Xenopus tropicalis: one gene and its partner. The protein of the gene in region 2 interacts with the protein of the main gene of each other region in a biochemical or structural test. Links are inferred from orthologs where the notes say so. Each region holds a gene or a part of one and is shown on either strand. Other genes may lie near its edges.

What was found.
Region 1: the proteins of angpt1 (region 2) and tie1 interact in a biophysical measurement, tested with the Homo sapiens proteins (2 studies listed by BioGRID and IntAct, with this or other methods). The link is inferred for Xenopus tropicalis from reciprocal best matches to the Homo sapiens genes ANGPT1 and TIE1.

The regions. Positions count from the first base shown.
Region 1 is NC_030680.2:88,395,776-88,399,598, reverse strand, and holds part of tie1 (tyrosine-protein kinase receptor Tie-1), read right to left. Parts: intron 3,030-3,823; coding exon 2,889-3,029; intron 1-2,888. UniProt on the Homo sapiens protein: Transmembrane tyrosine-protein kinase that may modulate TEK/TIE2 activity and contribute to the regulation of angiogenesis.
Region 2 is NC_030682.2:133,372,257-133,376,762, forward strand, and holds the start of angpt1 (angiopoietin-1), read right to left. Parts: upstream 2,932-4,506; 5' UTR 2,521-2,931; coding exon 2,206-2,520; intron 1-2,205. UniProt on the Homo sapiens protein: Binds and activates TEK/TIE2 receptor by inducing its dimerization and tyrosine phosphorylation.

The DNA of each region.
Region 1 (3,823 bases), on a different chromosome or scaffold from region 2:
ATATATTTTTTTGATTCATGCATAATCACTGCTTAATGGTCATCACATTGGTGACTGAAGTAGATTCACCCATGTCCAACTTTAACTAAAGATTTCAAAAAAGGCCCTATACAGACTAAACACAAGTAAGTGGTTGTTTTTTACAGGAAGGGTAAAGATACCATCATATAATTACTAGGTTCTCTAAGCAGGCAGAATAAAAAGTCACCATAACCTTTCAAGGATTAAATGAAATAACTTCTTCACTAATTATTGTTCAGGCACTTAAAGGAAAACTAAAGTTTAACAAAGAAGTAGGCTAGAAATGCTAAACGTGCTAAATGCTAAGGGGCACATTTACTAACCCACGAACGGGCCGAATGCGTCCGATTGCGTTTTTTTCGTAATGATCGGTAATTTTGCAATTTTTTCGTCGTCTTTACGATTTTTGCGTAAAAACGCGAGTTTTTCGGCGTCTTTACGATTTTTGCGTAAAAACACGAGTTTTTCGTAGCCATTACGAAAGTAATTTTTTCGTAGCGTTAAAACTTGCGCGAAACGTCGCGTCTTTTAAGTTTTAACGCTACGAAAAAGGCGCGACTTTGCGCGCAAGTGTTAACGCTACGGAAAAATCGCGACTTTGCGCAACTTTCGTAATGGCTACGAAAAACTCGCGTTTTTACGCAAAAATCGTAAAGACGCCGAAAAAATCGCAAAAAATACGAAAAAGTCGCAAAATGTTCGTTTCCAATCGGAATTTTTCCAATTCGGATTCCAAATCGTGTCTTAGTAAATCAGCCCCTAAATGTGAGATTAGAGCTCACCACAGAAAAAAATAACCCACTTTGTACTTATTCCTATTGGATGCGCTTCTGAAAATCTCATAGGTATGCAAAGAAATTGGGTAAGATTTTCTGTGGTAAACTCTAATCTCACATTTTGATAAATCTGCCCCTATGTTTTGAGGTTCTGTACCAGCCCGAGCCAACCATAGTAGTGATGTACGGGTTGAGAAATCATCGACCCGCACCCGACCCTAACCATATCTATGGATTTAAGGCTGATGCCACACCAGGCGTAGGGCTGATTTTTTCGGCAAGCGGAAAAACGCTTGCCGAAAATTCAGCCCTACGCCTGCTACTTGTGCCTGCACCCGAATGAATGGGATACGCTCGGGTGCAGGCACATGTAGCCGATATACGCAAGAAAACACGAGACTTTGCATTCTCACGCGTTTTCGTGCGTATATCGGCTACATGTGCCTGCACCCGAGCATATCCCATTCATTCGGGTGCAGGCACAAGTAGCAGGCGTAGGGCTGAATTTTCGGCAAGCGTTTTTCCGCTTGCCGAAAAAATCAGCCCTACGCCTGGTGTGGCATCAGCCTAAGGGTATGACATAATATAATTCTTTTACATATAAATGAAGGGTGATATCCCTAAAGTGAGCACCAACCATTTGGGTTTTTCCTGCGCTACCACCATTAAAGAGATACTGACACCAGAAATGAAACCTTTTTTACATCTGTCATAACATTGTCTTTGCATGCTATTTATAATTTTGCCATAAAAGTATTTGTCCAAGCTTTTACATTACTTCTCTGATCCCCCATGTTCCTCTATGAGGGGGCGGCCATATCTGTGCAGCAGTAGGCCGTTAGCATTAGAAGCTATAACGGACAGGCTGAGAAGGGACAGTCAGACTGGCAAAACAGTCAGGTTTTGGGATTTCAAGTAACAATTACCCACAAAAGCAGCCATATCAGCAAAAAATGATCAACATGACCTATAGGTAGCTTTTTATGTAGATTCATATTTTAAAAAGTGTTTTTTTAGTGTCAGTATCACTTTAATGTGGGCATGGTCTTAAAAGCTCTTGTGATAACATGGGTGTGGTTTAAGTGGGTGCGGGTTCAGAATGGGCAGTGGTGAAAACTGGCTTCCATTATCGGCCTTCCGCCATGTGGGCCATAAAAATTCCGGCCCTTGGCACCACAGAAGTTGGACAGCACTAATCTACATCATACTAAAAGTGGATTTAATGGTGAACAACCCCAACTAGGGTACAGGAACAGGTGTGACTGTCTTTGGCCAATGGGAACATCTAAAGAAGGAAGCTAGGAGGCTAATGCTAGATTTAGAACAAATTGGTAAGAACACAGGTGATGCTAGATCTCTGGTTAAGTCCTTTGAAAAGGGAGTGTGAGAGTCCACTAGTTGTAATCTGTGTACAACTGAACCAGTTTGAATAAAAATGTATATGTTCTGTGGATATGGATGCTTCCCTGATTGAAGAATGTGAACTGTTTGTCTGTGCAAGTTTGTACAAAAGTTAAATAAAAATTGTGTGTGTGATGCAACTCCCAGCACCTGTGGTGTGGAAACCTTGGCCAGATAGGGAAACTTTTATATATGTGAGTATATCAAAGTGCTGACATGTAGATGTGGGCTCCCCATGCACCCCTCCATGATTTACAAGTAGTGTTACCACCTTGGAAAAAAATACCAGCCCACCTATGTTTTTCACCCTTTTCCCTATTGATAGTGTTAACTGTCTCTCCTATCAGCACTGCACTTTGTGTCTTTCCCTGTCCAACACAAGGCATAAAGTCTGCACATGTTGCAGGAAGGGGCCCACATACATTCTTTGTACAGAATTGAACTGAAGCTGCAGCAAATGACCCACTACCTGTGATAAAAGAATAAATAAGCTCTAATAAGTAGTGTCTTTATCAGACTCGGCTCTTTTATGCTAATTGCTGCTATGTTGCTATAGGTCACTGAACTGGAGCTTATTTGTTACAGTTTTGAGGCCATATAGTTACACCTTGCATGTAAATGTGGCCATAAAACAAGAAAGAAGTCTGAAATAAATTATGGACAAGTAACTTAAACATAAATATTTCTTACGTATCTGGCAATGTGAACCTGTCCAGCCACTGCCACAGGAGCACCCATATGGATCTGGAAGACAAAAAGTAAGCCCTTTGCAGCCCTGCTCCCCTTTGCATGTCTCCTGGCAGTTTCTGCCAAAGTTTCCTTCTCTGCAGGCTGCAAAAAAAACCAAAAACATATAAATGCAATACAAATTATGAACTACAGAAAGTGGATGTTTTTTCTGTGGTGAGCAAAACCCATGATAAATATGCTTCTAGCTTCTTAAAATTCCATAGGAATAAATAGAAAGTTTTTCTGTGGTTAAGCTAAATTGTCACACTTTGATAAATCTGCCCCTTATGTGCCCTTGCCCCCAAGGTTATGGTAAAACTTACACAATTTACATAACTTCCACAAAACTTAGGAAACTGACATAACTTGCCTAAAAATTGACTTAATGTGTGTACCAAAAGACAATGCAGAAAGCTTGACAGGGGCAGGCAAACTCCACTCACCACCAATGAACTAAAAAACTTAAAGTAAATTCCACTGCCCCCAATGAACTGACTGACTTATTAGCACATTAATTATTTATTTTAACTATTTATATGGCAAACAATAATCCACATAGAGAAATGCACACTCTTAAACACAAACTGTTTATTAAGTTACAAAATCAAAACATAATTAAACCCACATTGATTTTGTAACTTAATAAACATTTAGTTTTTAGGAGTGTGCATTCCCCAATATGGATTATTGTTTGCTATTAGGGGACTCTACATGTGCGGCCTCCCTAGGGAAAAGCACTTCTCTATATTTATTTTTGTGTGTGCTTTCTACTCTCCTTTTGTGCTTAACTATTTATATGAACTGATTATAGTGAAACCAGCTGTTTATTTTGGGAGCTACTTTATTTTTACTATTTTTATTAACTACTACTAACTAGTTACTGGGCCCCTAAACCT
Region 2 (4,506 bases):
TAACTGAGACATAACAGCAACAAACAAATGAAAGCAGATTATGAAACATATTTTAGGATGGACTTCCAAGAAATTTTCAGACCTTGGCATTCCAAATATTATACTCCGGAAACATTGCAAAAGCCACTTACCAGCAGTGAATGAACCCTCTGTCTTATAGCTTAGCCTTTAATCTCTATTGTGTTGCATCTATTAATAATGTGTATAGTTCTAGCTTTGCCATACACAGCAAGACAAGTATGTGTCAGTACAGGTATAGGACCCGTTATCCAGAATGCTTGGTACCAAGGGTATTGCGGATAAGGGGTATTTCCGTAATTTGGATCTCCATACCTTAAGTCTACTAAAAGATCAATAAAACATTAATTAAACCCAATAGGATTGTTTAGCATCCAATAAGGATTATTTAGATGGGATCTTAGATGGGATCAATTACAAGGTACAAGGAAATCAGTTTTAAAATTCTGAATTATTTGATTAAAATGAATCTATGGGAGACAAGCTTTCCGTAATTCGGAGCTTTCTGCATAACGGGTTTCCACATAAGGGATCCCATACCTGTACCACCTTATATTAGAACTGTCTATCCTGTAGCTGTTGTTCATCTACAACTGCCAGCAGGGAATCCTGGGAATTGTAGTAGAACAGCAGCTGGAGAGTTGCAGGTTTGCCTTTAATCCCATTGTGTTGCAAGTTTATGTCTTTAGGTAATATATGAAGCTCTGCTGTGGGATCTGGGTATAAATTCTAAATACAGAAGCACATTGTCACACAGGGTTAAACCCTCTCATTCCTGCTGCCTAGTGCTTCCAAGGCAAGGAATGCCTTCGAGTGATTTAAAGACACTTCCCAAACGGTTAATAAAGAACGTTCCTTGAAAGGTTAGATCAGTCACTGATTATATTAGCCAGGTATGCCCAGTGACATTTACCCCTGCATAGCTATCTGCAAATAGATGTTATAATAATCTCTCTGTACACTGGGAGCCATTGCCCTAGTCTTTCTAAAATCCCAATGAGAACAAGATAACCCTGTATCCCTCAGCAGAGAAACTTTATACCAAGTACATGAGCTGCCACGCTGATTGCAATTACGTTCTCTGTCTGTTCAGGTTTTGCATACGAAATAATGAGATGAAGTCTCCCCTCCAGGGCAAGATACATGGTCGCTGCTAATTGAACTATAAAGCGCTGCCTTCTGAATAGACATTAGACATACAGGCTAATAAAGTTGCTCCTGATTACAGTTCTCTTCTAGTTTGGGAGATTTAAAAGCATTTCACATAGGAAATAATGACATGCTGTTTTTTTTACTCCCAGGAGGAGATAGAAAGTAACCCCTAGCTGTCTCAGTGCAATGTACATGCGGCGACTCTTGATTTATTATCCTTTATTTATATAGCTCTGGCATGTACACAGCGCTTTCTATAGACTGTTTATCACTTACAGCAGCCCCTGCTCCAGTGGAGCTTACAATCTACACCAGGAGTCAGATAACCTATCTGCCTTAGGGGAAACAGGAGGACTAAGAAGAAACCCACATAGACACATACAAACTCCTGGCAGACAGTGCCCAAGTCAAACTCAAACCCAGCACCCCGGTGCTACAGGCCAGGGCATGTGTCCTACCAACTAAGCAACTGTGCCAGCCTAGCAAATACCCCCTAGTTGCCCAGCCCCCAGACTAAGGTACAAAGTAACCCCCTATGCAGACTCACAGTGCACTTTCTGGCTTTAATTAGCACAGACTGTACATGCAGTTGCCATTGACTCAGACTGCCCTGCAGAAGTTTTACCAAGCTGCCCACCCCCAGGGTTAGATACCCTTGTAACTGTACCAAGGCAGGGCCATAAAACAAAGCACTTTATTTACATTACACATTACTGTACATACAGTATATACCTACCCTTACAACTGTCAGTTCTGTATTGCCTTCCATACAACCACATGCTGCATATTAACTAGTTATGGTACCAAGTGCTGAGCTATCAGGCACCATGCTATCTAGTTCCGTTACTGTACATTTACAGTACATACATGCAACAATCACTTCTAAATACTTGGGGTTAACCATGAACAATAAAAATAAAATATGCTGACCCCCCCACTCCCTCAACCCCTATAAAAAATACATAAAGAACTCTCAGTGGTCCCATGTCCGAGGCTTCCATAACATTTGTAACAGCAAAGCAACCCGGCACTTACTTTCTGCAGCCACTGAGTGTAATTTTCCATCACCAGTTCCAGATGCTGGAGTTTCTGGGAAGAGAAATCCTGATCCATTTGCGGAGCATCCCTCTGCAGAGCATTGCTGTTGTACTGCTCCGTGGTGCTGCTGCTGCTGCTGCCCTCCTTGCAGTTGGCCTCTTGCTCAGGCAGAATGAATGTGTAGGTGCACTGGCCATGCTGGATCCGGCTGTATCTTCTCCCATTGCTGTCTGTGCCTTTCTTCTGCATGCTACATCCAACGTTAGCCATCAGGGCAGCAGCCCACCATAGGATAAAAGCCACATATACCATATCTGATGCAAAATAAAAATCCTTATGGAATGATGAAAAAACAAAAATCAGGTGAAATTGGGAGAAAAAAAGTCTGGGAAGTGAGTGCCCAGTTTTATTTCACCCCTCTGGGATATGTCTCTTTGTAGCCCCAATAGATAGACTTAGTGCATGGCAGGCTCTATTGTTTGGCTCTCATTGGCCGCCCAGAGATTAGCCAGTCCACTGCACATGCATAGCCTGGTCCCTCTCCTCTCCACTCACTGCTGGAGAACTGCTATTTTCTCCCAGAGCCCAGTGAGTTTTATTAAGACTGCACATTCAAGCCAAGCTGGAAGCAGCCTGCAGGATGACTTGACAGGAATGTGTGTGTATATAGGAGTGCTACCCGTATGCTACGCTGAGCATGGCTGCTGCTGCTGGTGGCTTGGCCAGGAAAGGGATCATTTTACAAAGTGGCTGCATGCTTGACCTCAATCAAGCATGGCTATTCTGCATAACAACTAGCAGCCCGGGACAGGCTTCAGGCAGCATTTTTGTCCTTGTCAGTTATCAGCTTTTTTTTACCTCCTTCTTCTTTATTTTCTCAATGCAGCAAATGAATGTAGGGAAAGAAGCAGGAAATTGGGAACCATTCATTTGTAGATTGTAAGCTCTTTTGGGCAGGGCCCTCTTCACCTCTTGTATCGGATATTGATTGCTTTATATGTTACTCTGTATGTCCAATGTATGTAACCCACTTATTGTACAGCGCTGCGGAATATGTTGGCGCTTTATAAATGAATGTTAATAATAATGTCACGTGAAAGAGCAACGTTAAAGAAAATGGCAGCACAGGAATGGGATCCATTCTCCGGAAACCCGAAAGTTCTGAATTGCAGGATAGCCATCTCCCATAGACTCAAATAATTCACGTTTAAAAATGATTTCTTTTTTCTCTGTAATAATAAAACAGAACAGGTATGGGATCCCTTATCCGTAAACCCATAATCCACAAAGCTCCGAATTACAGAAAGCCTGTATAGACTCCATTTTAATCAAATAATTCAGATTTTTAAAATGTATTACTTTTTTGTAATAATAAAACAGTACCTGTACTTAATCCCAACTAAGATATAATTAATCCTTATTGGGGGCAGAACAGCCCTATTGGGTTTATTTAATGGTTAAATGATTCCCTTTTCCCTGTAATAATAAAACAGTACCTGTACTTGATCCCAACTAAGATATAATTACCCCTTATTGGGGGCAGAACAGCCCTATTGGGTTTATTTAATGGTTAAATGATTCCCTTTTCTCTGTAATAATAAAACAGTACCTGTACTTGATCCCAACTAAGATATAATTACCCCTTATTGGGGGCAGAACAGCCCTATTGGGTTTATTTAATGGTTAAATGATTCCCTTTTCTCTGTAATAATAAAACAGTACCTGTACTTGATCCCAACTGAGATATAATTACCCCTTATTGGGGGCAGAACAGCCCTATTGGGTTTATTTAATGGTTAAATGATTCCCTTTTCTCTGTAATAATAAAACAGTACCTGTACTTGATCCCAACTGAGATATAATTACCCCTTATTGGGGGCAGAACAGACTAGGATAATAAAGAGTTTGAGGGAGAAGAGGAGGAATTAAAGTTTTGAGAGTCTGACGCTGCATATACTAACATTTTATTTTGGCTAGAACCTCCACTCAACATAGAAATAATGGGTCTTGATCTATTTTTTCTGCATTGGTCTCAATGGGTAAAGACACAAAGGGCAGCGATTATCACCTTATACATAGTATGTGCTAGAACCCATGGGTCAGTACTGCCTGGGACACAGTCACAGTTCGCTCAGGAACATACTCTATGCAGAAGTGAGAAACCCATTCACTTGTGGCGGTGCTGGAGATAGGGGATATGTCTGCAGGGCTAACAATGGTTTGAGAACAACTGAAATGGAGATTTTTCTATAGACTTATGGCAAGAGTTAAAAAACAAAGCTATGTGTAATATACAAA